Mus musculus: one gene and its partners. The protein of the gene in region 1 interacts with the protein of each later gene in a biochemical or structural test. Links are inferred from orthologs where the notes say so. Each region holds a gene or a part of one and is shown in the gene's direction. Other genes may lie near its edges. The genes, in order: Snca, Mapt, Vamp2, Nedd4l, Fyn, Sncaip and Siah2.

The links.
Region 2: the proteins of Snca (region 1) and Mapt form a complex in vitro, tested with the Homo sapiens proteins (3 studies listed by BioGRID and IntAct). The link is inferred for Mus musculus from reciprocal best matches to the Homo sapiens genes SNCA and MAPT.
Region 3: the proteins of Snca (region 1) and Vamp2 form a complex in vitro, tested with the Homo sapiens proteins (3 studies listed by BioGRID and IntAct). The link is inferred for Mus musculus from reciprocal best matches to the Homo sapiens genes SNCA and VAMP2.
Region 4: of the proteins of Snca (region 1) and Nedd4l, one has a biochemical effect on the other in vitro, tested with the Homo sapiens proteins (3 studies listed by BioGRID). The link is inferred for Mus musculus from reciprocal best matches to the Homo sapiens genes SNCA and NEDD4L.
Region 5: of the proteins of Snca (region 1) and Fyn, one has a biochemical effect on the other in vitro, tested with the Homo sapiens proteins (3 studies listed by BioGRID). The link is inferred for Mus musculus from reciprocal best matches to the Homo sapiens genes SNCA and FYN.
Region 6: the proteins of Snca (region 1) and Sncaip form a complex in vitro, tested with the Homo sapiens proteins (3 studies listed by BioGRID and IntAct, with this or other methods). The link is inferred for Mus musculus from reciprocal best matches to the Homo sapiens genes SNCA and SNCAIP.
Region 7: of the proteins of Snca (region 1) and Siah2, one has a biochemical effect on the other in vitro, tested with the Homo sapiens proteins (4 studies listed by BioGRID). The link is inferred for Mus musculus from reciprocal best matches to the Homo sapiens genes SNCA and SIAH2.

The regions. Positions count from the first base shown.
Region 1 is NC_000072.6:60,826,186-60,830,482, reverse strand, and holds the start of Snca (alpha-synuclein), read left to right. Parts: upstream 1-1,478; 5' UTR 1,479-1,759; intron 1,760-2,855; 5' UTR 2,856-2,881; coding exon 2,882-3,002; intron 3,003-4,297. UniProt on the Homo sapiens protein: Neuronal protein that plays several roles in synaptic activity such as regulation of synaptic vesicle trafficking and subsequent neurotransmitter release.
Region 2 is NC_000077.6:104,229,882-104,234,286, forward strand, and holds the start of Mapt (microtubule-associated protein tau), read left to right. Parts: upstream 1-1,554; 5' UTR 1,555-1,726; intron 1,727-4,405. UniProt on the Homo sapiens protein: Promotes microtubule assembly and stability, and might be involved in the establishment and maintenance of neuronal polarity.
Region 3 is NC_000077.6:69,087,255-69,091,333, forward strand, and holds the start of Vamp2 (vesicle-associated membrane protein 2), read left to right. Parts: upstream 1-1,273; 5' UTR 1,274-1,371; coding exon 1,372-1,373; intron 1,374-1,851; coding exon 1,852-1,972; intron 1,973-2,476; coding exon 2,477-2,635; intron 2,636-2,721; coding exon 2,722-2,773; intron 2,774-3,395; coding exon 3,396-3,412; 3' UTR 3,413-4,079. UniProt on the Homo sapiens protein: Involved in the targeting and/or fusion of transport vesicles to their target membrane. Major SNARE protein of synaptic vesicles which mediates fusion of synaptic vesicles to release neurotransmitters.
Region 4 is NC_000084.6:65,191,681-65,195,285, forward strand, and holds part of Nedd4l (E3 ubiquitin-protein ligase NEDD4-like), read left to right. Parts: intron 1-1,395; coding exon 1,396-1,625; intron 1,626-3,379; coding exon 3,380-3,501; intron 3,502-3,605. UniProt on the Homo sapiens protein: E3 ubiquitin-protein ligase that mediates the polyubiquitination of lysine and cysteine residues on target proteins and is thereby implicated in the regulation of various signaling pathways including autophagy, innate immunity or DNA repair.
Region 5 is NC_000076.6:39,561,773-39,565,960, forward strand, and holds the end of Fyn (tyrosine-protein kinase Fyn), read left to right. Parts: intron 1-1,991; coding exon 1,992-2,200; 3' UTR 2,201-3,609; downstream 3,610-4,188. UniProt on the Homo sapiens protein: Non-receptor tyrosine-protein kinase that plays a role in many biological processes including regulation of cell growth and survival, cell adhesion, integrin-mediated signaling, cytoskeletal remodeling, cell motility, immune response and axon guidance.
Region 6 is NC_000084.6:52,766,831-52,770,937, forward strand, and holds the start of Sncaip (synphilin-1), read left to right. Parts: upstream 1-1,262; 5' UTR 1,263-1,307; exon of another isoform or gene 1,308-2,228; intron 2,229-4,107. UniProt on the Homo sapiens protein: Isoform 2 inhibits the ubiquitin ligase activity of SIAH1 and inhibits proteasomal degradation of target proteins. Isoform 2 inhibits autoubiquitination and proteasomal degradation of SIAH1, and thereby increases cellular levels of SIAH.
Region 7 is NC_000069.6:58,689,550-58,693,707, reverse strand, and holds the start of Siah2 (E3 ubiquitin-protein ligase SIAH2), read left to right. Parts: upstream 1-1,319; 5' UTR 1,320-1,892; coding exon 1,893-2,312; intron 2,313-4,158. UniProt on the Homo sapiens protein: E3 ubiquitin-protein ligase that mediates ubiquitination and subsequent proteasomal degradation of target proteins.

The DNA.
Region 1 (4,297 bases):
ACTGCTTAGTCATACATACATCCTGACCTCTATCTAAACAAGATGAACTTGGGGCACTAAACCTCTGTTCCTCTTCTTAACGTGGCCACATTGAATTACTCCCATTTCTAGTATTTCACTATTTATATGTCACTTTACCTGGCTGGTTGAGGACAGGTGTCCTAACTTGGCAGGATGGGGATGCTAGAGCCCAGGATCTAACCCTATCTACTGCAGAGGTGCCACCTTTTCCTTTAATTTCAAGTAAACATGGTATGTGCCACTAGTGTGTAGGAAGGTTGATTTTTAAAGGGAATAAGAATTGAAGGCGTTGCTTAAACAGTTAATTTCTGTCACATTACTTGTACTCTGCATTTGTGGTTTTATCTGCCTCCTTCCTTTATAGCATGCCAAACAAGCTGCTTGTCCCTTGTTTCAAATGCTTTTTTAGACTTCAATTTATTTATTTATTTATTTATTTATTTATTTATTTTTCAGGATTCAGAAGTCAACTGACTTCAAGGATCAGAGAAAGCATTCCCTCCTACGACCCCCCCCCCCTTTTAATACAGTAAACGCTTGATTTAGCTTCCAGTGCCCAACACAAGTTCAGAATACAAGAAAGGAAAAGCAAGGCACTCTGCTGGGGGAGGAGCTTGGCACTCAAATCCACTCTGCTATAAAACAGTGGTATTCTGCTCATCTCAGAGAGAAGTGGGAACGTGTTAAGTAACACAGAAATTGTCTCAAAGCCTGTGCATCTATCTGCGCGTGTGCTTGGATTGGAAGAAGAGTCTGTTCGCTGGAGCTCCACGCAGCCAGAAGTCGGAAAGGTAAGAGGTGTGCAAAATCTGCCATTAAGTAGGGACTAAGGAAGAAACTGCCTGTGATGGTCCCAGAGGGTGAATCCCACAGCCGCTACCTTCCTATCCTGTAACTCTATAGTAAGCCACTTTCTCAAGTGCAAAAAAGCCTTGAGGCAGCTGGTTTTCGACGGTTGGGGGATATTTATTCCTTGCTCCACAGATGGGGAAAAAAAAATCAGCGTCTGGCAGCCGCTGATTGGTGGAAAAGAAAATGGTGATAGTGGAGTGGGAATGAGGATTTGCTGAGCCTCCCCCTGCTTCTTCGACCTGTAACTCTTCCTTAGTCGGCTCCCCTTTGCACCCAGAACCCTTTTAGACTCCTCCGGGGTAAAAACAAATGGAAATCTTAAGCTGTGTGAACAAAAGCAACCCCAAGGGTGTGTGCTCCCTCTCCATTGCCTGGCTCCGCACACAGACCATTTCAGGCGGTCCAGCTCTCTGGTGTGGCATCTGGGCTCGTCCTGGAGGAGGGGGTCGCCTAGAGGAACTGGGAACAGACTGAGGCAGGGAAGGAGGGGGGTGGGGCAGGAGAGGCGCCAGCTCAAGTTCAGCCACGATAAAACTGAGGGCCCTCTGAACTCGAGGGGAGGCTCAGGCCGTCCTCTCTTCCTTCCATCCGGGGGAATGTGCTCCAGATACCCACAGCCCTCACGCACCGCACCTCCAACCAACCCGTCCCCTCCCTAGGAAGAGGAGCGAAGGCACGAGGCAGGCGAGGGGCGGGGAGAGGCGCTGACAAATCAGCTGCGGGGGCGACGTGAAGGAGCCAGGGAGCCAGAGCGCCCGGCAGCAGGCAGCAGACGGCAGGAGACCAGCAGGTGTTCCCCCTGCCCCTGCCTGCCCTTGCCTCTTTCATTGAAATTAGATTGGGGAAAACAGGAAGAATCGGAGTTCTTCAGAAGCCTAGGGAGCCGGTAAGTACCTGTAGATGGGGCAGCTCTGGGGATCTTAGCTAGCCGGAGCAAAGAGCCGGGACGCCTAGAGAAGACCAACTACAGCTGCTTTGGCGGTGGGGACTGGGCCAGTGCGTGGAAAGTACATCACTCGGCTTTCCTTTCGCTGGAGACATGCCCTTCCATCCTGTCAAAGCCCGAGGGAAAGGCCAGGTTGCCTGTGGCATCTGCTTTTTCAAGCGGAAACGCTAGGGTGTTTCATGTTGAGTGCTGGATGGTGGAAGCTTAGTGCTGGGCATTGGGTGGAATTTGAGCATCCAACTTTCATGCTCCAACCCCAGGCATTTCAGCTTCTTTCTGTAGAGGAAGAAGGGTGCCTTTGGCCCATGATTAATAGAAGTGCAGAGGACAGTAGGCAACAGGTGATAAAGGGTTAATGAGCATGGGGTGCAGGGTCTTCTAGAGGATTCCAGCTGAGGACAGAGCTTCTTGGTTGGGTGGTGCTCAAGTGAGACTGCTCAAGTGTATGGACAGCGCCTGCTCTGGGCAGATAGCAGGCAAAGAGCTAGTGGTGGGCAGAAGGTCTTGCAAGATTAGAAAGGCTGGGCTTCAAGCAGTTCCCTACTTCTAGATTAAACAGTTCCCCTCCCTTCCTTCTCCAAAGACTGACTCCTCTCTGGGTCTTTTATCCTCTTGCCCCCACTCCATCTCTGTACGCCCACCTCCCATGTTCCTTTTCTAGATAGTCTTTTTACTTTGAATGTAACCTTTGGGCCCTGGGAACTTGATGGGGTAGAGGATGCCCACCTCCCCTTCTGCAACTCTTCTTCTGAAATATGTATGTAAGAGCAGTCGAATGATCAAACTAGATCCATCCCATCCTTAAGTGACATGACTTTTTCCTAGTATTGAGTGACATAACTCAACAATCAATCAACACTGTGCCCAGCACCCCCACATCCCCCCACCCAAGAAATCACACTTACACCAGGACTTGGGGGAAGGCATACTGATTTTTCCCCCTCAATTTCCTTTCTTTCTCTAGCTGTTTTAAACCTTATTATTATTATTTTTTTACCCAAATTTTCTAATTCAAAATGTATTCTGTATTCTCTAGTGTGGAGCAAAAATACATCTTTAGCCATGGATGTGTTCATGAAAGGACTTTCAAAGGCCAAGGAGGGAGTTGTGGCTGCTGCTGAGAAAACCAAGCAGGGTGTGGCAGAGGCAGCTGGAAAGACAAAAGAGGGAGTCCTCTATGTAGGTAGGTAGTGACACTGTGACTAATGAATTGGGGTGGCTGGTGTGTGGTGTCTGATTCGTGTGCATCACAGCTTCTCAGAAGAGTGACAGCTGTGTGGAGGTGAGAGAATATGAACCTGCATATTAGCTCTCAGAAACAAACAGGGACAATGTTTTCTGTCCTTAGATTCATTAATCTTGTTATTTATGTAGGTTTTTTATTTGGTTTTCTGTTTCTGTGTATGAATACACTGAATTTTAAAAATTGGCAACCCATGAAAAATAACCAAGAATATGCTTATGAATCAAAGACATGTATGGCAGTAAGCCTGGTGGCATTTGGGAAGTGGAGGCCCAAGGACCAGGAGTTGATGGTCATCTTCAGCTACACAGAGAATTTGATGCCAGCCTGAACTATGTGAGAACACACACACACACACACACACACACACACACACACTCACACTCTCTCTCTCTCTCTCTCTCTCTCTCTCTCTCTCTCACACACACACACACTCACACACACACACAATACACACACACACACTCTCTCTTACACACACACATACACACATACACACATACACACACACACATACACACACACACACACTCACACACACACACAAAGAAATAAAGAAATAAAGGAAGGAAGGAAGGAAGGAAGAAAGAAAGAAAGAAAGAGAAAGAAAGAAAGAAAGAAAGAAAGAAAGAAAGAAAGAAAGAAAGAAAGTGAGCCACAAGTACTCATGGGACTTTGATTTCTTTCATCATCACTATAGGTAATACCTGCTAAGTTTAATAAATTATAAAGCTTTAAACAATAGTTTTGCATAATTTTATTTTACAACTGTGAAAATACAACTCCTTTGACCCTCAAATAGAAGAAAGAAAGCAAGTCTTCTTTGGTGGATCTCCTTTTAGGGATCACTTGGTCAGTGGGAACAGCGGGACTTAAGGAACTTCAGAAATGTTTGTTTAGTTCACCTGTCAGAGATCATACATGCTGAACAGTAAGAGGTTGATATTTAGTGCCATTTTCTGCCTGACTGTACACATTGAAAGGAAGGCCAACACTCCCTTTCTCTGTCTTTCCCTGTGTTAAATTGGCTGTAACTTTACAAATCCCTTCTAGTACTTTCATGGAAGGAATAGACACCCATGCACACATGCTTATCCCCAGCAGAGACACAGGTGCACATGGGAGCACAGTTGCAGGGTTCATCTACCTCTCTTTCCTCCTGTGAACACTGTTTCCACCTTCTTAGGAGGGCATCTCTCTTGGTGGAAGACTCAGGGTAAACATTCAGGCTGAAA
Region 2 (4,405 bases), on another chromosome or scaffold:
AATTCTTTTAAAAAGAAAGTAAAAAGAAATTAGCCCCATTTGCGTCATTCCAGAATAATTCAGTAATTAAGCTCATATGGGAAAAAATGTTTGTGGTGCTAGAAAACTGAACCCAAAGTTATCTCAAAATTTTATTTTGGGGGCTGGAGAGGTGGCTCAGGGGTTAAGAGCACTGACTGCTCTTCTGAAGGTCCTGAGTTCAGATCCCAGCAACCACATGGTGGCTCACAACCATCCACCCCCCCAGCCCAGAAGTGTGTTTGTTTGTTTGTTTGTTGACTCACTTTCACCCTGTAATACAATTCAGGCTGGCTTGGATTCTGCTATATAGCCCAGGCTGATCTTGAACAAGTCTCAGCCTATCTGAATGCTGGGATTACAGATGTGAGCCAACACACCGAGCAGGTACAACGTTGGAGTTTTAGAAACAACTGCTGGGATAGCAGTGCACACCTTTAATCTCAGCACTCTAGAGGCAGAGGCAGGCAGGGGATCTCTGTGAGCTCCAAGCCAGCCAGGGCAACATAGTGAGAACCTGCCTTGAAAAATAAAGAAAAAACGGCATGCAAATGAAAGCTTCAAGACAAGTTTTCGCCTCTTTGGCAAGAAGTAGGTGCCTGTCTCTCTTCCTTGCATTTGAACAGGCTCCAGCTGTCCAAGAGAATTGAGCTTTGGGGAGGTAAGATATTAAGCTAAAGCCACAGCCCACGCCTACGTAGCTGGAAGGAGAACTAATGACCAATTTCAACCGGAAGCTTGACATCCAGCAGGTGGCCATCTCCAGCAGGCACCTTAAAAATTCAGCTCTCACGCTGTACAAAGGTGTTTCAATAAACGAGATAAAAATAACTCTGTGAAAATGCCTTGCAGTGTGTGTGGTAAGCATCATTAGAACTTACCTATTTAAAGATTTTTCTTCGCTAGGGTCACAGTCAAGATACCTAATGGGTTTGAATGCTCCTTGATTTAAAAACAATTGTTTTTCCACGAAAACGCTAAAGTGTATTACGGTCAAGTTAATCTGTTTCGAGAAGATTTGTCAAGGAAATCATTCACTTTGGCCATTAACAAAAACAGGTGGAAAGAAAGCAAGCGAACAGCTGGCCCTGGAAATAGAAAGTGCGCTCTATCTGGAGGGCCACATTTTAGGAGACTCGGGGAGCCTGTAGCACTTGGGGTTCACGGTGTACCGCCTGGAGAGCCAGCGAGGGTGAACTGAAAAGCGGACGATGACCGACACACCGCTCTGCCTGGACCCCGCGGGGACCGAGGGAGGGGACCCCTGGACTAGACAAAGGCTGCAGCCCCGGGAGGCCGGGTGCGCGTGCGCCACGGAATGCGCGTGCGCGCGGCGGTCAGCACCGCGGCCCGAGGCGTGGCGGGACCCGGGGAGGGAAGCGCGGAGAGGGGCGAGCCGAGCGGCGCGGAGAGAGGAGGGTTGAGGGGCGCTCGCGTGCGCCCCCTAGCGGTCGGAAGGGGAGGTGCCCGCCCAGGCCTCGCTGCCCGCCCCTCCCCTAGGGAGGTTCGCGCTCCCGTGGCTCGCGCCTGCGCTGCCCGCCGGCCTCCAGAACGCGCTTTCTCGGCCGCGCGCGCTCTCAGTCTCCGCCACCCACCAGCTCCAGCACCAGCAGCAGCGCCGCCGCCACCGCCCACCTTCTGCCGCCGCCGCCACAACCACCTTCTCCTCCGCTGTCCTCTTCTGTCCTCGCCTTCTGTCGATTATCAGGTAAGCGCCGCAGCTCTGAAATCCAGTCCCCTCTGGCCCTGTGCGCCGTCCTCCTGCCACCCCTCGCCCCAGAGATGGATTTAGGGAGCTGGGCATCAATCAGGCGCAACGGCGGGGGCCTCTCTGCGCCCTAGGCGCTGGGGAGCTGGGAAGGAACGCGTGCAAGAGATGCACGCACGCGAGCGAATGCGTGTATCTATGAGTGCTGGGGTCCCCACTATCGGCTCCGCGCAAATGAGGGGGGCTGTGCCCGCAGGGTGGGGCGCGGATGACGGTGACCTAGGGAAGGGGTTGTTCTGTAATCTGGATCTCAGCCTTTTGCCGCAATGGGCGTGGGTCTGTGAGTGTGCATGGGGGTCCAACGACGACCCCCGAAACAGAACCTGAAATCGGATTTCTCTGCTCCTGATTGCCATCAGCCCTAAGGAAGGTGTGGATCGGGTTCTAGAAAAGATGACTGCCTTCATGTCTCTCCACCTCCCTGACAGCGATTCTGACACGGCCTTCACTGGCCCTGATTTAAGGCGGTGGCCCGCCCCCTCCCCTTTTCCTCCTTCAGAAGCCGGCAGGGGACATTTGGGGGCTGGGAGGAATCCGGAGGATGGGGAGGGGTCCAGGCGCTGTCACGTTAGTCGCCCTTCCCCCTGCGCGCGCTTGGTACAGTGACAGGGGCAGCGCCGTGCCCGAGAGAAGGTAGTGCGCGGATCCCAATGTGGGAGCTCGAAGAGTCAGGGGTCACCTGGCCTCGCGGTGTCAGCGGGCTGGCTGGCAGCGGCTCCCCGCTCGAGGGCGCGCAGCGTTGCAGCCAGGCACAGACCCACGCGAGGGCTGCAGGTGCATTTCGGGGCGCGTTTCTTTCTCTGCGTTCTGCGCCGGGCTCCCGGCATGTGCGCTCCCTGCCGGAGGCGCGGGCTGGCGCGCAGGGCTCGCCCCTCACTGCGGCAGTGGGTGTGGACCTGGGTGGGCGAGGAGGGGGGAGTACGATGTGTCTCCTCCCGCTGCCACCCCTCTCCGTTTTTTCCCCCCTCTCTGAACGCGAGGTGCCATCTTTTTGCGGCGAGTCACGTCTCTATCGTAGCATGCCAAGAGCTGTGGCCAGGCTTTGGAGGACCCGGCTTGGACCCATGTTAAAGAACAGGGGGTGATGAACACGGAAGCCTTGGCGTTTTGCCTCTGCAGCGGTGCGCACCAGAGCGTTCACCTGAGGTCGTCTAGGGGAGCTCGCTGCTTTGTTCGTCGTGTGATTTAGGATCTGCGCTCCCAGCCCTGGTTTTTTGGGGGAGTGTGCGGGGGGAGGCGGGAAGCTTTCATTCGACGAGGATATTTGCCTACGCACTCGGAGCAGCTCCATCCTTTTTTCGCCACTCTTTTCAGACCCTTTGTTGGATCTACAGACTTGCGGCAGCCCACTCCCCAGTTCGACCCAGAGCCACATGGGTGGGATTCGAGATAGACTCTCGTGTGCAGGAGCCCTCAGAGGAAGCACATCCCTCCCCACACCCAGGCCATCCTGAGGACCACACCCCACTTGTGTTTCACTGCTAGGGGAGCCAGATAACCCTCGGGAATGGGGAGATTCGGCAAGCTCAACTCCGCATCCCCACCACCACCACCACCGTTGAACCCTGTTGCCTCTCCCGGTGGGAGAGTGTGAGGAGAGGGTATGAGATCCCCTGGGATACTGCGGCCACACCCATCCCTCCCAACCCAAGGAGAGAGGGTTAAGGGTTGCCATAGGAACCACACCAGCCAGAGGAGGAACCTCTGGGCGTTACCTCACCCCCTACCTCCCACCCCCTACCTCCCACCCCCCCCCTTACTCCGCGGAGATTTAGAATCCTGGGGTAGTCTGATAGTGCCTGGAAGACACGAGGAAGGGGCCCCTCATCCCTGATGCGAGCATCATTCTCTTGGCACTGGCAACCATAGCCATCCAGAGAGAGAGAGAGAGAGATGCCTCTAATGTATTTTATTATAAGCGTGCTGACTGATATTATTTTATTAATATCATTTAAATGAGGGACTTTCATTTTTAAAAAAATCCACATCTACAACAGCCCTTGAAACCAGAGAGGGATAGAAAGCTAAGAGGTCCCAGCCTCCCCACCGTACAGTAAGCTCGGTCTTCGAGGTTTTCTGGTTAATTTTACCGCTGAATACTGGTGCGGGTAAGCAGTTTTGAGACCGATGGATGAGCTTCTTAAGGGCCGAATTGCCCACGTCGACTGCTCACTCAGATTGATGTAGGCTGGGGGTGGAACGCCCTCTCCCGATCAAACCGCGGCCTGAGGCTGTGGCATCGTGGCCGGGCCCGCCTGGCAGAAATTTCGCGAGCATCTGAAAGATAGGTTCAAATACTACCCATCCCTCGCCACACGACGGGCTGCTGGGAACAGGATTCTTAAGCTAGAAGAAGCCAGGCTCTTGGGCTGGATGCGGAAAGGGGAAGGCTGGGAGGGGGGGCTGACTATAGCGGGCCCGTTGGGCAAAGGTGTCACAGCGGAAAAATCAGCGGGAGGGGGAGGAGACAGAACGTTTTACCCAGTGCAGAAACAAAGCTCAGATCACAGCGTCTTCGAACTCCCATTTTGCACTGTGTTGAGGGGTCGAGTGAGGTACTGTGCTGGCCAAGGCCCGTGTTGTTAATTAAAGATCGTGGGGGTTGCTGCTGAGTTTGAG
Region 3 (4,079 bases), on another chromosome or scaffold:
AGGGGGTTGGGCACTGCAGCACAGGAGGCCCTGGGAAGCCCGGGAGTGGGAGGAGGAGGAAAGCCAGACCCTGCCTGTCTCTGAGAATAAGGCTCTCTCAGGGATGTAATGAGTACTCCCACATCAGTAGGTCCTCCCCTAAAATGCCTCCTTCACCCTGGAGGCTTACTAAATAGACAGCTGCTCCCCGGTTCTTTCTCTCCCTAGATGCAGGATGGGAGTGTGTACAGCTGCCTTGGCTGTTTAGTGTACTTAAAATGGAGCAATCAGGAATGGACCAGGCCTAAGAGAATATCCTATTGTGTTATCTAGATCAAGCCATTTGACAAATATTGAGTGTCTCCATACATGATATGCTTAGTGTTTAAGGTGCAGGGAGAGGCAGCTGGTTCTGTCAAGGTCACGTGTGTGGGATTAGTCCACATGTAAAGTTGTGCCTATAACCAAAGTACTTCAGGTGCCACCCTTGTCTACTGTCTCTTTTCAGCCCAGGCTCTATGCTAGAGTCAAAGCTGAGGGGGGCAGTTGACCCCAGACGGGATCCAGCCTGTGGTATCACCAGACAGTCTGGGCCCTTCCTGGAGTCTCTAGCTTGTCTAATCTTTTTGGGGCCTGCTTGGGCTTTACCTGCCAAGTAGTACACCTGGTGAGAACTTCATCTGTAAGGATGGGCAGTTTCTCTCTCTCTCTCTCTCTCTCTCTCTCTCTCTCTCTCTCTCTCTCTCTCTGTGTGTGTGTGTGTGTGTGTGTGTGTGTGTGTGTGTATGCTTCTGTTACTCCTTTTGCCCTGACCCAGCTAGGAAATCAGAAGCCTCAGTCCTCCCTTGAGACATTCACTTGCAGGGTGATGGGTGAGATTAGTCCTCACGATTCCCCTCCACTCCAGCGTCAGAATTCCAGTTATCAGTATTGCTCTGGCGCCTGCCTTGGTCGCTTCTCATTTTTTCACCCTCAACCCATAGACCAGGTGTTGGGACCAGGTCGTAGGATGAGACGTTGGGCTATATGGCATAAGGACCGGTGTATCCTCTTCAAAGATAAGGGAGGATGTATTGGGGGGTGGGGCTGTATGGATTTCGGTTGTGGGTGCCAAAAGAGGCAGGTGCCTTGGGGGCGGCAGTGGGTTGGCGAGCTGGCCCCACAGCCAGACCCAACTAGGCGACCCCCGGCCCTGCAGCGCCCCGCCCCCGCGGTCCGCTTGCGACGTGTCGCCTGCCGCGCCCCGCCCACGCCGCAGTACCCGGATGCGGGTGACGTGCGGCCGCCATCTTCCAGTCCCGGGTAGCCAGCGCCAGTCGGAGCCAGCGCGAGCCGCCGCCGCCGCCGTCGCCGTCACTGCCTCTGCCAAGTCCACTGCCCGCTACCCCCGCCATGTAAGTCAGCCGCCTGCCACTCGCCACCCGCGGATGTTCTGCCCCTTGCGGGCCGCCACCCCAAGGAGTGGACCGGGAAACACGGGGGTCCCGCCGCGGGCCAGGCTGGTGCCCATGACTGCGGGCGGATGCCGGGAACCGGGTCCCTGGCGGTCTGGCACGGGCGATGGCTGCCGGAGGGAGCAGACCCAGCGTCCACCCTCCGCCCCGCCCCTGTCACTATGGCCGTCAGTCATTTCGGGTCGACCCCGGGCAGCATCTACGAGGTCGCCCTCATTTAACCAGAGGGGAAATTGAGGCATGAGGAGGGTCTCTCAAGGTCACGCAGCTCAACCTTAGAGTGACTGTCTCCCATCGGGTGGCCTTCTCGCGCAAGAGAGGACTGGAGGGACTGTGGATGGACAGGTGGATGGGTGGAGCCCCGGCCGTAGGGCCAGAGGCTTCAGGCCTCGAGTCTTAATCCGTTTCTCTTCCTTAGGTCGGCTACCGCTGCCACCGTCCCGCCTGCCGCCCCGGCCGGCGAGGGTGGCCCCCCTGCACCTCCTCCAAACCTTACTAGTAACAGGAGACTGCAGCAGACCCAGGCCCAGGTGGATGAGGTGAGTGTGTGTGTGTGTCTGTGTCTGTGTCTATGTCTATGTATGTCAAAGATGCAAGATGATGGGCTGGCAAATAGGTGTGGGAGCCCATCTTGGGTTGAAGGTAAAGACAGTTTATGCTTGTGGGTTTGGTCGGAGACCTGCCTCATCCCCTTTCTGTCTCCCTGTTAGCATGCACTTGGAAGGGCTGCAGGATGAATCAGTTGAGCTAGCCTGGGGTGTGCCAGCTGGGGCAGGTGTGCTCTGGTGATAGGCGGATCCAGGCCCTATAGATAGAGGGTGTTGCTGAGACATCTGAGCGCTATGGTAGCGGCATGACCCTGATGTGTGCTCCTTGCATGTCCCCTAGGTGTGCTAGGCATGTTCTGTGTATGTCCTTGGCATGTTAGCCTGGAAACATCGGGGTGCATGTTCCACTTGTGCCACGATGGGCACATGTTCAAGAAGTGCCCTCCTTGAGGCATGCCTTGGCACACCCCCCTGCCTCGTGGACCCCTCCCTCAGGTGGTGGACATCATGAGGGTGAATGTGGACAAGGTCCTGGAGCGGGACCAGAAGTTGTCGGAGCTGGATGACCGTGCAGATGCCCTCCAGGCAGGGGCCTCCCAGTTTGAAACAAGTGCAGCCAAGCTCAAGCGCAAATACTGGTGGAAAAACCTCAAGGTAAAGGGGAGGAGATGGGGACAGGTTGGGAGGGGCAGTGGGGAAGTAGGGTGTCACTGTGTCATTCACCTCCCTCTCACTCTTAGATGATGATCATCTTGGGAGTGATCTGCGCCATCATCCTCATCATCATCATCGGTGAGTGGGGCCAGAGGCCAGGGCCCCTCCCCTGGGGAGGTAGAGGCTTTCCCTGGGGAGCCTGGGCTTTGAAGGTCACTAACCTAGTTTTTACTCTGCAACCAAAACACACTTTGCTGCTATTGGCAGTTCTGACTCATTTAGAGCCCAAAACTTGAGTGTTGTATAGCCCTGCTTTCCCTGGTTATGGGTCAATCCGGTTAAGATTTTGGGACTAGGAATACCGGGTGGGGTCCTGGTGTTCGTCTAGGAACCCTTTGAGCCTAAAAGCTCCATCTGGGGATTCTAAAACGGGAGTAGGAGACAGGAAAGGGTGAGGTCTCGAACACCAACCACCAGGATACCACTTACTCCACTGTTTGAAAGCTACCGTCACATACCCAGTGCATTAAAGGTTTTATGCCCCTTTGTCCAGCCGTGGAGTTTAAGGGACCTCAATACCCACTTGCCAAGTCCCTTTGAAGAAACTGAGGCTGAGAGGGAAGGGATGTCAGCCAGTGGGGGAGTGGGGAGGCTTGGAACAGGGCCAGGCCTGACACACTGCTTTCTTTCTCTTTCTCCCCCTCTCCTCGTCCTCCTTTCTCCCCCTCTCCCTCGTCCTCCTCTTGCCCTCTCTCCACAGTTTACTTCAGCACTTAAATCCCTGAGGAGTCTGCCCTGCCTAAGAAGGGCCTCTCCCCCACCCCCAGCCGTTCCTCCACCTCTCAGCCATATCTTTCAGCCCCCTCCCTTGGATCCGTGTGTGTGTGTGTGTCCGTGTGTGTGCCCCCTGTAAATAGCCAGCTGTTATTTATACATATATAATATTATATATATTTGGTCTGTTTGTAGTTTTATTACTAGAAGATTTTTTCCGGTTGTCCTTAACACCCCTTCCTGAGGTTCCCATCACCTCTCTCTCACCCTCTGTCCCTTTTCCTCTTTCCTGATCAGCCCCAAGTCCCTTCATTTGCATCTGCTATGCAATAGCCCCTCTCCTCCTTCCCTTGGATTTAACCGATCTTTCCCTTATCTTCCCTGTACAATCCCAGGCCCTCCCAAAACAAAAGCAAACCCCACAGAAACAAACAGAACACCCCACCTGTCTAGGCTTCCCTAGGCTGCATCTTTGTATCCCTTGGGAGGCTCTGAGACTGGTTCCACTTGGTCCTAAGAATCCCAAGATTTTCTGGGAGCTTCCAACATGTTGATTAGCATATCATTTGCATACGCTGTCTGTTTCATTTTGTTTTGTTTGTTAGTTTTTTGTTTCCTTTCTGATCCATCACTCTTCACTCTTCTGTGTTTTTTCTTTCTTTCTTTTCGG
Region 4 (3,605 bases), on another chromosome or scaffold:
AGTGTTACATTATCAAATCACCGCAAGGGCAATTTCTCATGTGATACATTAGACAATCATATGATTCTTGCGGATTAGAAAAGAAGACCAAAGTCAAGAAATCTAGGGACACCACATGGAATTACACCTCTTTATGTCTGAGATGGCAATTTTAACCATATAACTAACATACATATTTTAACAAGGTATATTTTTACAACACATAATTATATTACTTGGTAGAGTTGAGCCCAAGTGTGATTATCATCATCATCAACAACAACATTTTACAACCAAGAGACGCTGGAAGGTTTATACAGACAGTGCTGAGTTGACAACCTGTGCTTATTGTTGGCATGCCTCCCCACCCCCAACCTTGCGTCTTCTGTGTTCATTACCTGCAGTATGGATCTTAGTTTTGCTCTCATTTTGCCCAGAAAATTGATGCCTTTAGCCAAAGAAAGTATGAGCCCCAATATAATTCTTTCTTTGCGTGAGACTGCCACCCTCTGTCTGCTCCCTCCCAGTTGATGTTCTAGGTCTGAGCTTTGTCCTGTGGTAAAGAAGTACTGGTCACTTCTATGCTCACTCAGAATCTGTCTTCTGTCCCATGGTTGTGACTCAAGTTCTTCATTTATAACCAAAGAGTTTTTGTCCTCGAAGCTCACATTGGCACTTACAGTAGTGTTTCTTTGTGAGTTATCCTTGTGTCCTCCAGTGACGAGCAGCTCCGTGGCTATTGTCCTTGTAAGCAAGCCTAGCCTGGACCTCATCCTTCCTTGCAGAAGGCTGTCTGCACACCTCACTCACGTGCTGGGTTACATTCAGTCGACTCTGGGTTCATGGATGTTTTACCCAAACTTAGTAGGATGCTGGCCCCCACCCTCCACCATAGCACCATGAACTTGCAGGCAGCATGCCTTGCATCTCCCCACTGCAGTTCCTACCAGAGAAGACCGGTTCCAGCTTGCCTGGAGGTTATAAAGGGTTGATTACATGGGATTAAGTCTTCTCTCTTTCTTTGACTGAACCAGCATTCCAAGGTGCCTGTGTGGGGGAAGTGCCCTTGTCTCCATAGTGGTAAGGATGAGGTTTTGGGCTCAGTAGGTGTTCCCCTGAAGATTATGTGGGTGATTCAGCCTGAGCAGCTCTGAATGGCTACTTCGCTGTGTCCCATCTTGACACAGGGAGGTTCTCCCTCTGTGAAAGGACAAACCTATAAAGGGGAGACTCTTGGGAGCCAGCTGTCACTGCACATTTATCTGAAGGCCATCATTGCTTCTGCTCTTTGGCTATTTTCCTGGAAGGCAGGAGCGTGCGCGCATGTGTGTGCATGTGCGTGCGTGCGTGCGTGCGTGCGTGTGTGTGTGTGGTGTATCATATGATCATAAACTTGTCTTTTTATCTTTTATCTAGGCTGATATTCCAAACAGGTTTGAAATGAAACTTCACAGAAACAACATATTTGAAGAGTCCTATCGGAGGATCATGTCTGTAAAGAGACCTGACGTCCTAAAGGCTAGGCTGTGGATTGAGTTTGAATCAGAGAAAGGCCTGGACTATGGGGGCGTGGCCAGAGAATGGTTCTTCTTACTGTCCAAAGAGATGTTTAACCCCTACTATGGCCTCTTCGAGTACTCTGCCACGTAAGTGCATGGAAGACATTTGCGCTGTGTGCCCTTCCCTGCAGCTGGTATAGTTTTCTTCTTAAGGAACTTAACATAACATAACATAAGACAAGAAACTCACCCATTTGAGATTTCAGTCCCTCCCTACCCTACCACCCTAACAAGTCTAAAAACAAGTTCTGATCCAACATGGCGAAGCACTGTACACTGTGAACGCCTGAAACTGATTCTTCTCTTGTCAGTTTGGCTCACAGAACTGAAACTGAAATTATGTCAGGTGATTATAGAGGGAGCAAGGCAGTTTTCAGCTATAGTGCCATTCTGATATAAGGGAAAGGTTTGTTAGTGCCAGAATTCAGAGGCATATGACCACGAATCATTCCTGAAGTCACACTACTTAAAAGGCAAGTCATGAGGATTTGAAGACCCATGCTTGGGATACAAAGGCCAATGCCCTGCTCCCATAGTAGAAGGACCAGGCTTTGCCTTCCATGGGGATTCATCATTGCCTGGCAAGGGAACTGAGGCAGGCTAAATTGTTTTCTCAGCAAACATTTGGCTCCTATTGTCTCCAGGCTGAGAATGCTCGAGAGCACGAGGCCGATCTTGAATTCCCAATAGAACAGTTGATCTTGGCAAAAGATTTAGCATTGTTCCAGAGTAGACTTCAGTTGATGTGGCTTCTCCTACACCTTCCTCCTGGTACCTGTATGCTTAGGGCTCTTTTAGAAGGCTGCCTCGGGACAGTCTCCAGTTGACCTAGCCTTGATTAGTGAGGTTCTTAGGGAGGCTTCTGAGAGAATCTACTCGTAACACCACTGAGGTAGAAAGAGGAGGAGCCAAGGTCCTGACCTCTCCCTACATCTCCTAGATACCCCCCCATCACTCTATGCTGCCTGGTTGAAAGCCCCTCATCCTCATGATTGTAAGGCCGACAGGGACCCCTGAGTGTGCTCCGGGGGTTGCATTGTGGACATGGGGCTTTCCCCAGAGCTCTTGAGGTCAGGTAAACCAAGAGACGAACGAACCTTTAGGGGAAAATTCCCAGATCAAAAGCCTCTCAGAGGAATTAACTTTTGCTCACAGAAACCATCTACAGCAGAGCTTGTGTGCTGGAAGATCTCTGCACACCCCTTACCACTGGGAGGGTTCCCTTCTTCTCAAGATATCTGGTTGACCCACTTGAAATTGACATTGTGTATGTGTCTGTATGTATGTGCATGTGTGCATTTGTAGGTGCAAATGCACTTGCATACGCGTACATATGAGGGCCAAAGGACAACCACAGGCATCCTCACCTTGTTTTCAAGACAGTCTCTCACTGGCCTGGAACTTGCCAGAAAGCTAGGCAGCCAGAAAGCCTCCAGGGACCCATCTGTTTCAACTTCCTGAGCCCTGGAATTGCAAATGTGAGCTGTCACACCCAGCTTTTAAAAAATGGTGTCCTGAGGATCAAACCAAAAGCCCCAGGTTTGCAAGGCAACTGCTTTATGACTGAACAGCCATCCCTAAAACTGACATTTCTGTAGATAAAAGTTAGCTGACTGAAAGCAGTTTCCATAGCTTTACCTGCTCCAGTGAACCGTAACTGTCAATTACAGAAAGGCGTGGCTGACTGATGGGTTACATTCCCTAGTTCATATCGGTTGCCACGAAGTCCCCAAGGTTGCCCATGCACTATAAAATGAAGCAATGGGTAGCAAAGGGGAGTTCAGCTTCTTGGATTTCTTTCATTTAAGTATGACTGGACTTTTCTCTTTTCCTCCCCAAAGGGACAACTACACACTTCAGATCAATCCCAACTCAGGCCTCTGTAATGAAGACCATTTGTCCTATTTCACCTTCATTGGAAGAGTTGCTGGCCTAGCGGTGTTTCATGGGAAACTCTTAGATGGTATGTTACTCCAAAATCTTGTGGTAATGAAAGTAAGGCAGCTCTGTTTGTGGGTCTGCAATCTTGTGGGTCTGCAGTCCAGTGTCTGAGCCCACGTGTGGATA
Region 5 (4,188 bases), on another chromosome or scaffold:
TCGTTGGCTCCAGGGAACACCCAACAGAAAAAGGTACTCCCACACTGGCCTCAGCATTCTCCCAAGGCAAGGGGCTTGCCTGGCTAGAGTGAAATTATTTGGTCATATTAAAGGTCTACTTAAACACAGTCAAAGGAATGCTAAATTTTGTCACCACCAGAAATTATAAGTACAGAGAATAAAAGAGCATCCTACAAGGACTTAGACAAACAGATGACTGAAATAGTTGTCATCCAGGAAGACCTAGCTAGGATAGGTCCAGCTTCAAAGATGAGAGCAACCCAGAAGCCTGGATGCTCCCTCCAGAGGGAAACAGGAATGTGACCTCTGGCCAAGTGACAGGTTCTGACCCAGTGGTCACCTCCCCCAGAATTAAAGAAGGCTGTGTTGAATATTATGTCGATTCCTTACTAGTGACAACCCTGAGACTCATGCTGTAAATTACAGCAGATTCTTGCTGCTGTAAACTAACTGTCAAGAGTTAGGGAAGATTTTAGATGTCAGGCTCACAAGGTCTTGGCAGAGAGAGGGAGAAGGAAGGGAGGAAAGGGAGGGAGGGTAGGCGGGTGGGCGGACAAGGGAGAGAGTACCTGGAAGCAGCTGAGAAGGGAGCACACTGAGTGATGCCTGCTTCAGCTTCCCATGATGCCTTCTGCTCTGCAGCCTGAGAATGTCAGCATTAGGCAGCTCCTGCAGAGGGGCAGGGAGGTCTCAGATGATAGATGGCCGGATGCTGTCATTCATAAGCAAAGGCCCCAGAGACACCCTGCCTCCCTGTCACAGTTCCCAAACCTCAGAGCACTGTGAGGGTCACCAGGCCAGATGGTGCCAAGCCCTGCTGGCATGAAGGCAAACCTCAGACGCCATGCCTAAGCATGAGGAAAACTGTGACATTCACTGTAGCTCTGCACATAGAAGACCTGTTGCTTTTATTCTACAGGGTGTTTGTGTGCTTTAGTCATACAAACATTTCTTTTTTAATTTCTTTAACTTTACATTGGTGTTCTGCCTCCATGTCTGTCTCTGTGGGGGTGTCAGGTCCTCTGGAACTGGAACTACAGGCAGTTGAACTAACTGCCATGTGGGTGCTGGGATTTGAACCTGGGTCCTTTGGAAGACTGAGTCATCTTTCCATCTCCCGAAGATTCCTTTTTAATTATGTTTCTTGTTAATTGTGTGAGGATATGTGCACGTATGTACCAGTATCTCCTGAAACCAGAGGTGTCAGTTGCTCTGGAACTGGAATGACAGGCCGCCTAGTATGAATGCATGCTGAGAATTGAACTTGGGTACTTTGCAACTCTAAGCAACATTCTAGCAACATTAAGCCCCTTCCCCTAGTCCTGTGTTTTACCTTTCCTAGTGAGTATAATTTACACATAACAAAGGTTAATTTAAAAGTATACTCCCATGAGTTTTGACTAGTGAAATTTGATTGTTCACACGGACTAACTACACTGGGGTCATGGACTGCAGCCTGAGTTATTTCTCATGGCAGAGCATGGCTCCCAACCTGGCTTTGTTTTAAACTGTTTCAGTGACAGAAATAAGACAGAGCTTGCATGTAGCCCACACAAACAAAATATTTGCTGTTGGCCTTTCACAGGAAAAACATGGGCATTCAACCATGGCTTCTGTCACCTCTCAGCTCCCTCTGCCCTTTCACCCGTGGCCCCCACCCCAACCCCAACCCCCATCCGTGCGCAGCAACCTCTGATCTGGTTTCTATCATGCAGTCTCTGGCCTTTCTAGGGTCTCATCCAGGTGAAATCGTACAGTGCGCTGCCTCTTGTGTCTGGCTTCTTTCACGTGTAGTGCTTTGAGAGTCACTGTCTGGGCTTTTGCATCTATGAGTTCTCCATTCCTTTGTTCCACTCCTTCGTGCTGTGATAGCCTATTACAGGCATGGTTCCCCTCCTGAGAGGGAGGACGGCCTCCTTATGCTTTAACCTTAGCCACGTGCCCATTCTCACTGGCCCCTGTCTTCGCAGGCATGAACAACCGGGAGGTGCTGGAGCAGGTGGAGAGAGGCTATAGGATGCCCTGCCCACAGGACTGCCCGATCTCCCTGCACGAGCTCATGATCCACTGCTGGAAAAAGGATCCGGAAGAGCGCCCGACCTTCGAGTACTTGCAGGGCTTCCTGGAGGACTACTTTACGGCCACAGAGCCCCAGTATCAGCCCGGTGAAAACCTGTGAGAGCCTGCGCTTCAGACGCCTCTTCCCGAGGCCTCCCTACCCCTCCCCATTAGCTTCCAATTCTGTAGCCAGCTGCCCCAGAGCAGCGAGAACCGTCCAGGATCAGATTGCATGTGACTCTGAAGCTGAACTTCCACGGCCCTCATTAATGACACTTGTCCCCCAGTCCGAACCTCCTCTGTGAACCATCTGAGACAGAAGCGTGTTATTTCTCAGACTTGGAAATGCATTGTATCGATGTTATGTCAAAGGCCAAACCTCTGTTCAGTGTAAATAGCTGCTCCTGTGCCAACAATCCCAGTGCTTTCCTTTTTTAAAAAAGAAAAAGCAAATCCTATGTGATTTTAACTCTGTCTTCACCTGATTCAACTAAAAAAAAAAAAGTATTATTTTCCAAAAGTGGCCTCTTTGTCTAAAACAATAAAATTTTTTTTCATGTTTTAACAAAAAATGATCAGGACAGGTGTTTGGGTTTTTTTTCCCTTTTTTATACATATGATATATATGTTAACATATGTTCCTGTACATACACCATGTGGGTGCTACCATGGAGACTGGCCAGCGTAGGCCACATAGCTACAGGACCGGAGTGGGGATTACTGCAGAACCCTGCCAGCAAAGCACTGGTGTCAGCCTGCAAGCCGGTGGCCTCATTTTTTGACTTCTACGAAGCATGACGTCCTCTCCATTTGGACTGCACTTTTTTGGTTCCTAATCATACCTATAGATTGTTCATGTGACTTTTTTCAGGTCCCAGGGCCTAGTCACGAGTTTTAGTGCCAGTTTTTGCTCCAGCGAACTGTGATTCGTTCTTGAAACTTAGGAGTGAGCATTTTAAGCAAAAAGCAGCCAGCCAGTTCTACCACAAGAGCTGCAAGACGGAGACCACACAAACTTCCTGTATAAATATGAATGCTGAAGGGTTCAGGTGTTTTCCTTTTATTTAATAAATCTTGTAACCACATTTAAATGGTCTAAACCCATAGCATTGTAGTCATGGCAACCTACTAAACTTTCTCATGCAACTAAAAATTATGGGAAGGCAAGGGTGGGGGGTTGTACACGTCCCATTGTAAAATAAGTGTTTTACTGTCCTGTACTGCTAATGAGTGACTCTCCGTGTCAGGAGTGCTCCAGTGAATAACTATGCACTACTTTACATTTCATGGGGGTGCACAAAAAAAAAAAAGTATTACATTTTTAGTTGCTGTTTGTACCAACCTCGAATTACGTATGTTTAACAACAAATCAATTCCTATTTCTATTGAGTTTTTTAATACTGACTAGCAATTCTGAAGTCTTAATTCCTTTTTTTTGTTAATGATTTACTTGTGAGTTTACATTTTTAAATTGTTTAACTTTCCTAATTTAGTAATTAAAAAGAGAGCATTTTACATTTGAAAAAAAAATTTTTGTTTATTTGTGTACACCACAGAAGGTACCCTAGGCGTTCTGTGACATACCTGGCCCGTCCCAGATGGTGAGGAAGCACCTGGTAAATCGGGCCACTGTGCAGCGATTTCCAAACGACAGAAACATGCAGAGCATCTGGAGACCCTCCCCACCAAAAGGCAAAGCAGTTATCTGGCTAACTCAGAGTGGCTAAAGCAAAACTGGGCGTACTTGAGCGCCATAGTGTATCCCGCACTGTCTCTCGCTGGAATTCACCGTGTCCTATTTGTACAGGAGACAGTAGTCTTTCTTGGTCTCAAGTCATAAATACATTTCCAAGTATCCTACTTCTAAAATGAAGTTGCTAAGCATGTGACCATGTGGTATGGGGGAGAGGGGGAGGGGGGACTGGGTAGCCATCCAGGCCTGGATCTACCATGGTTCCCTGCAGAACTCCGAACCTCCCCTGCAGGCCAGTGTGTCTGGAGACAAAGTACAGACAAGATGCTCTCCCAGCCTCTGGCAGCCCTGCCTTCTTACAACTCTAAGTCCACCGTGTCATATGGAGCCATATAAGGAGGAAAATCTTTCATTGT
Region 6 (4,107 bases), on another chromosome or scaffold:
ATAAGTTACAATAAACAAGTGACAGAGCTGTATGATATATGCTTGGCTGTTTAGTCAAAAAGCTGGGGAAGAAATTTAGTCTTAGAGTAGGGAGGAGGATTAAAACTGTCTTCTGGTGACATTCAAGGCTGTCATTTCTAGGGGTGCCATTTACTTATGGTAGGTCTTCCAGGTAGAATTCCAGATGTGTGCAGGACAAGGACTGCTCTGATTGTCTTTACTACTAAAATCAAATTATGTATCTCATAAGAACGACTTACGGCTTCACTCTAATTACTCAGGGCAACCTAGCTTTTAAACCCCCGGGCCCTTCTTTCTTACTGGCAGTGTATTTTCTGTGACAGGCAGGCATACATCCCTCTGCCAGCACCCAGGTAGTATTGGATTTCCCTGTATCTCTCACAGCCATTCCCACCCTGGCTGAAAGGGGCAGGGGTGGGGGGTGGGCAAGATGACCCTAATTTGACCAGAACTCAGTCCTTCCTTCCTTCCTTCTGACAACCTCTAGCAAGCAGGTAACAAGAATGAAGCCCATGATGGCTTTCCTTTGACACACTCCAAATCTTGTCCCACTCCTGGGACAGAGATTTGTCCAAAGTCATTTAAAGCTGTCCAAGGGGGCAACAGAGAGCCAATGTTGCTATCAAAGCGTCTGTTCTCTCTGGATTTTGTTTCGGAAATAGGAAAGAGGCGGTCACCCACCGCTTGCAGGCATCACTGATGCCCCTACCATAAGGAATGCTAGGAGTAAAGTTACTATTATCACAGGGTCCTGGGTACACTGCTGAATTAACCAACTGTCATTTCAGACCCAAATCTCTAGCGCCACCCACCCAGGAGCACAAAACATTCTGGGTAAAAATCCCCCAGCCCTGCCCCTTTACATCCTTGGCTAAGTCTTTCAGGGTGGGCTAGACTTGGAAGAGGGGAAGGTTGGGGGTTGATGACGACGCGGTGCCAAGGCACAGCACTCTGGCCAAAACACTTCTCAGACACAACAGTTTTCCCAGGGCCGTGTTCCACCTTCCTTTTTCTCCGAGTATCGTTTCCCGGTTTTATGCTGGAACCTTGGAATGGTTTGGGGACCAATGAGGTGGCAGCGGTTGATTCATGGATCGCGGTGAGGGAAGATTTCATTTCCAAGGAGGAAAGAGCGCGCGGGGGGCGGGCGGGGGGGGGGTGCTGGAGAGGCAGCAAAGCCAGAGGGGAGGCGGGGGAGAAAGTGGGAAGAAGGGGCCAAAAGTGGGAGGGGAGGAGGGGAGAGAGCCTGCGGGGAAGAGCCAAGGCGGCGGAGGTGAACGCGCGAGGTAAGCAGAAGCAGCAGGTTCGCTGGCCGGGGACACCAGGGGAAGGCGGCTGCTGCTGAGGGGCGTGGGCTGGGCCGGGACGCAGGGGGACGGTCACTGTCGGTCCTGCCTGGTGGTTGCGTCCCTGAGCTCAGCGTCCCGCCGCCCCGGGTGTCCCCGCCCGCGCGCGCCCGTTGGGGGGCCCGGGGTGCGGCGCCGGCCGCCCGGCCGCATTGTGACGTAGCGGGGCCGCGGCAGCGCCTCCGCCGCCCGCCGGGTCTCCTGCGCCCGCCGCTCTCGCCGTCTGTCCGTCCATCCCTCCCGCCGTCCTCCCGCGCTCCGGTGAGTCCAGGTCCCAACCGCGGGCGCCGCAGGGAGGAGAGGGACGAGGGCAGCCCGTGCAACTTTGCACCGGGCGACACCCTGAGGGTTTTCGGGACCCCGGGGGCCCCCTTTGTGCCTCGGGTCCCTTCTGCTCGGGGCCGCGCGGTGCCGCTGCAGAGAGCTACAAGAGGAGAACGTTGTGGTAACCCAGGCAGCTTCACCCCGGGGGACCCAAGTCGCTCCCGCCTCGCAATCCCTGGCTCTGGTGCAGGGGATTGTTCTTTTCATTGGCCCTTGCGCTGGCGTTACGCTTGCTGCTACCTCGGATGGTCCCGGAGGCGTGGATGGGTTGTGCCAAGGCTCCTAGGAGCTGCCAGGGAGGGGCGAAGGCATGGTGATAGCTACACTAGTAACCAGAACAATAACAAACGTGAAGGGGATGCCGGGTGGTGTCGCTACCCGAGGAGAGCCCCTGGCCCATCATCCCCGAGACGCCTAGGCTGCCCCGTCCAGCCTCGGCTCCTCCTCCCGGCGCTGTCCGGCGTCCCGGGATTGTCCATGTCTTAGGGAAGGCTTCTTTCTGACCCTCTCAGTGGCGGTGACTTTCGTCTGCAGGTGGTAAGTAGGGATGAAGCCAACGTTGGCTATTGTCAAATGCCACGTTTTGTTTATTTCATTTTTTTTTTCTCGAAAAGAAAGGGGAGAATATTCTGAACCAGTTCTGGCAGCCATACAGTTTCCACAGGAAATACTAGCATTCTTTGAGGAACACGCTACTGCTTGCAGCAAAGAAAGTCTTCAGGAGACAAAAAGGCAACTGCATTGTTGCTCATTTCCAACTAGCCGCTAGGAGGGTGGAAACAGTGTTGTTTTTTCCTGCGGGAACATTGCTTTCCTTGGGAAAGTTAATTAAGGAAGCATTGCTGGCTGTGCCCTTTTTTTCACTTGCTGGAAGTGGGATGCCACTCCTCCTGGTTATTACTGACAAGTGTCCATCTAATAGCCCCTGGGAAGAAAGAGCCACCAACCACCGCAACAGTCTCCCCACACACCACGTGCTGTGGAGCTCGGCCAGGGCACAGTTTGCAAAATGAAATAAGGACTATCTTGGGAGATTTATGGGGATTACATTCGCGCAGACGTCAGTTCTCCAAGGTGTCAACTCTAAACACATTATGGTCAGGCATCATTTCGGCGCTGAATCTGCAAGCAGGCAAAAAAAAAAAAAATTCTCATTATGAAGCAGACATCTCAGTTGGGAATAAGTTCAAATCTGTATTTCATTTGTACACATTGAAAAATTCAAAAGTCAAGAGAGCAAGATTGTAGAAAGGCCCATATGCTAATGTGTGCACACCTGGGAGGCAGTGTCTATTGGCTGATTCTGATGTGACTTGATATTAAATTACTTCCTACATAGCAAAATGCAGGGAGATACCTTTAAACTGTCCTTACAACTAATAGAAGAATGTGTGACATTTGGGGGCTGATCACAGAAGTCTCTTTCTCAGGGAACATTAACCAAGTATTGCCCATAATGGAATAACTCGAGTTTCCAGGTCTAGATCAGAAAGTAAATGATGGCACTTCTCTTAAGAGTCATAGAACATCACTAATGTTAGTAATGCTGCTAAAAGGGAGGTTTATAAAGAGGTTTTATCAGTTTGAACATAACCTTTATCATCCCTCAGAGGTTCGTGAAGAGAGTTTACAAGACAGTACATCTGAAATGGTACTGCATTCGCTAATTCGATGTTTCTATTTGTCCGTGTCTGAAAGGAAGTGACTAAGGTCCGTGGATTTCTGTGTGCCATGTCACAGCTTTGCTGAGTCCAAGCAGCTGTTCAGTGCAGGTGTGCAGTGGAAACAGGGAATAGAAGCCAAAATCGTTGGGAGCACGGTTGTTTTGGAAGGACTTGGAGGGACTTCACTGTGCCTAGGAGGAGGGAAGCCCACAAAAACATCTAAAACATACAAATGCTCTTTGATATCATCAGAGAAAGCCCGGAGCCATGTTTCTTGCCAGATTTAGCTTGTTTCTTGTGAAAAGAAGAAATCTCCCAAAGTAGCAGGTGCATCATTAGAAGAAACACAAGGGACTTTCTCTCTTAAATGCAAAATCTAATTGAAGAGCCACAAGAGGATCCTGTGACACTCTTAGAGAAAGAGCCTAGTTTTTGGCACTCTTTCAGGTTACAGATGCAAATCCCATAGGAGAAATGTGTGTCTTCGGAGACAAATAATAGGTGGCGAGAATCAAATAGTTGCTTCTGTGAAACAGGAACCTGTATATGCTTATTTACTTTTGCTCTTTGACTTATATGCAAATTCACTTGCAGAGTAAAATTTCCTGAAATGAATACATAATTTGGTCTCTTAGCTAAACACTATGCATTATTTTCCAGTTAGTTGATAATAGACTTTATATTCTATGGTTGGCAGCTTGAATCTTTTATTAAACCTTTAAAATTAATGACCAAAGCTGGACCCAGTGACA
Region 7 (4,158 bases), on another chromosome or scaffold:
TCAAATTGTTTAAATTCACTTTTACAGAGTAGGAGACTGGAGCCAGGAAGGTGGCTCAGGAGGGTAGTGGTGCCTGCATCAAGCCTGCCAACTTGAGAAAGTCGACTCCCACAAACCTGTCCTCTGACCTCCACGTGTGCACACAAGACAGTCACAAACTAAGTCAGGATATTAAAAAGAATTTCGCTCGAAGTCACAGGGCACTATTTTACCCTATCCTGACTAATCTCTGTTTTCCTACAAAGAGTATCAATACTAGCTTTTTCCAATTCCAGTGTCATCAGTTCAGGCATAAAACGCTTGCCATAGCAATTGTGTGCAGGGTATGTCCATTATACGGTTCACTCCAAACTCTCAGGCGCTCTCTAATTCTGGGGTTCTGAATGGTGAAGAGTACCTGGAAATAAGTTTTACTGAGACTAGGGGAACCCTCGGAGAGTTCTCTTATTGCTAGACCGGAAGGTAGGCTGTAGATGTCCCCTGTCCCACCCCCACCACACTTAAGGTTTATTTTTATTTATGGGCATGTGTGTATATAATGTGTACTGGTACCAAATGGTATCAGATCCCCTGGAGCTGGGGTTACAGGCAGTTGTGGGTGCTGGGGACCAAAGTCTGGTCCTCTAAGAGTAGTATGTTGAGGCGTCCCTCCAGCTCCCGTGGGTGCCTTTTACACCTCTAAGATGGGGATCTTAGAGACTTTCCATATGTCGGGTGTACAAAGACAACTCAGGAAGAATCCAGCACCAATCCTGTCAAGCTGAGGGTTGGTAAGGGGTAGGTTGACCTCACCCATTTCCTTCTTCCCAAAGCCCCAGGTAAGTAAGCTAAAAGCCTAAGGTTTGGACCAGGACTAGACGTTAAGGACTCAGGCACCAGAGGGTCTCCTGTCATTTGGGGCCTCACAAACCCAACCCACGTGTATGGTATTCCTTGGAGGTTTTAATTCTCCATCGAGTCAGAGTTGTCAAAGAGGTTCAGGTTCTCTCAATCAGAGGCGGCCAATTCCAAGAAGCTTTCGCCAGTGGGCTTTCGAAGGAAAACCTAGCGTTAAGGTCCCAACCACTGAAGAGCCCACCCTCGTACCTAACTGCCGGGCCACACCCGAGGCCTTCGCGCGGCTCCCGCCCGACTCCGGGTCCCGCCCCCGCGTGTCAAGCTACCGGCCGAGTAGCCTGATCGCCAGCTGCTCCAGCGCGTCAATGGCTAAAAGAAACGTGGGATTCCGAGCCCCGCCCCCCGCCCCGCCCAGCCCCGCCCCGCCCCCGGCGCACTCGCGCGCCCTCCACGCCCACGCCGGGCCAGCAGTTGCCCTTCTAGCTGGAGTCGGTGCGGGTCGGCGTAGGTCCCCTGGGAAGGGTCGGGAGACTCGGGCTACGTCCTTTCCCTGGGCTGCCGGCTTCCACTGTCGCAGAGAAGCGACCCCACGCGGCGGCGATCGACTCATTCAAGGGCTCCCAGCGAGGAAACCGCTCGGGCGCTGCCAGCTGGGTCGGGCGGAGCTGCGCGGGCCGCAGGGTGGCTCTGCCAGTCCCTGAGTGCCGGGTCGGCCGCACACGTGTCTTAGCGTCACGTCCGCGCGCGCCCCCGGGGCTTGCGTCAGCTGCCGCTCCTGAAGCGAGTGGGCCAGGGCTCTGCGCACCAGAACGCCGCCGGAGGAGGGCACCGCACGGCCGCGAGCCCCGAGAGCGACGACCATCCGGGTGCCGCCGAGAGGATCGGCGCGGTCCGGTCCCCGCCCTCCCGGTGCCGGTCGGGTCCGCGCTGGGTCCCCCGGGCTGGGCGCCGTGGCGTTGCCCCGGAGCCCGCCACCCGCGGGGCGCGCACCGCCTTAACCCGGGCGGCCCCGCGGCAGGCAGACGCCCGCAGGTCCATGGTGGGCTCGGAGCGCGATGAGCCGCCCGTCCTCCACCGGCCCCAGCGCTAACAAACCCTGCAGCAAGCAGCCGCCGCCGCCTCAGACCCCGCACGCCCCGTCCCCGGCTGCGCCCCCGGCCGCCGCCACCATCTCGGCAGCGGGCCCCGGCTCGTCCGCGGTGCCCGCCGCGGCAGCGGTGATCTCAGGCCCCGGAGCCGGCGGCGGGGCCGACCCGGTGTCCCCGCAGCACCACGAGCTGACCTCGCTCTTCGAGTGCCCGGTCTGCTTTGACTATGTCCTGCCCCCCATTCTGCAGTGCCAGGCCGGGCACCTGGTGTGTAACCAATGCCGCCAGAAGTTAAGCTGCTGCCCGACGTGCAGGGGCGCCCTAACGCCCAGCATCAGGAACCTGGCTATGGAGAAGGTCGCCTCGGCAGTTCTGTTTCCCTGTAAGGTAAGTCCAGCCACCATCCGCAGATCTGCCAAGGAACCTTCCAGAGTTCCGGTGCCCTCCAGCGCACTTGAAGGCCCTAAGAGGCGAATGGCATTTCACTGTTTCCATCTGTCTGTCTGTCTTTCTCCTCTCCTCTCTCTCTCTCTCTCTCTCTCTCTCTCTCTCTGTCTGTCTCTCTCTCTCTCCTCCCTCTCTCTCTCTCTCTCTCTCTCTCTCTCTCTCTCTCTCTCTCTCTCTCTCTCTCTCTCTCTCTCTCTCTCTCTGGCGCACTCTCTCTGTCTCCGGTGTGTACGTGTGTGTACCTTGTCTATTGTTTCCAGGCCAACCTGTCCATTTTGGGAACTAGCAACTAGGGTTGACGTTTGCCGGAGCACTGACTGTAGATAAGTTGGCACTTGATGACGGTTTAGAAGCATCCCAGCTCTCCCAGCCAAGTGCCGCCGCGTCCACCGCAGGGGTGTGCTCTATAAAGCCTGGGCAGCTTAATGTGAACAGGGAAGCTGGCAGTGGAGATTGTGGAGGAAGGAAGCGGACGGTTTCCAGCGCTGAGCTTGGCGAGAACGGTCCTGGATTCCTCCTGGACCCAGTGCCCAAGATCTGGAGCACTTGAGAGAGCGCTTTGTAAGGGGAAGCGGATACTGCCTGCTTAGCACGGGAGCCCAGAAAACCCAGCAAGCCACGCCTTCTCTCAGCTTCCCAGACTTGCGGAGGACTCAGAAGTTGTAGCTGCTGTTTGGTTTTTGTTTTGGTTTGTTTGTTTGACTAACTGCGATGAACTCGAGTCCACAAGGACTCAACGCAGACACTTAAGAGCGTTATTAGTTCTCTCTCCAGTGACAGCATTTTATTTAGTTGCCTGTGCTGGGGGGTGGGGTGGGGTGGGCAAACCACAAGTCAAAGTCCGAGCTCTCATTCCCATGGCTCCAATGGTTTGTTTAGGACCTGTGTTTACATCCTCACGGCTAAATTAATGGAATCATGCATGTCTATATCTGAAAGCTTCTTTTTTTTAATACTCACAGAGATAGTGTTTTTTTTTTCCTCTGCCAACCAGGTTTACTAATAATATCCTCACCTGAAACTTGACTTGATCTCCTGTATTTTAAATGACTGATAGCATTACATTGTGTGGTTCTGCTATAACATCCTGTTGCCAACACTGAAACCCTTACAAAACTCCCCACAGTCTCATTTATATGCCTCTTTCTAACCTAGACCTCTGTCAAGGAGTTCATTTTCTGAACTTATAGGTGGGAATAATGTTAATATTTCTGAGATTTTTTTTAATGAAAGTAATTGTTCTACCTGAGACTGTTTTGTCTTGCCTATCTCCTTAGTGATTAATTTTTAGGGCAAGAGCTGTTTTAAATTAAAAATAGCTCACTGGAAATTTTCGTTTTAGGCTTCATAGTCAAGTCAGTAAAATGAGTGAGTTACTTTGGCCTTCTGCCCAGCTACAAACCCAATTAAAATAGCTTATTCAAATAAGGGTTTAGGCTATAGGGTCAGCTTATTAACTTGCTTGCCTTTAGCCCCACCCCAGGTCCTGCTTACTAATTCACTCAACTCAGGTGCTGCATCTGGGCAATTCGGATAAAATAGTTTCATGCCGCCCCCTTTTATTGGAAGCAGATTTTCCCCCTCCTATAATACAACCTGATTATAATTTCCCCTCCCTCTGCTCCTCCCAGTTCCTTCCCACCTCCCCTTGCATTCTGATCCCCCTTTCTGTCTCTCATTAGAAAAGAATAAGCTTCTAAGGAATGGTAACGATAAGGAAAGGAGCCAGAGAAGGCACAGCCAGAGACCCACTTGTTCTCCCATTCTGGAAGCCGTAATATACACC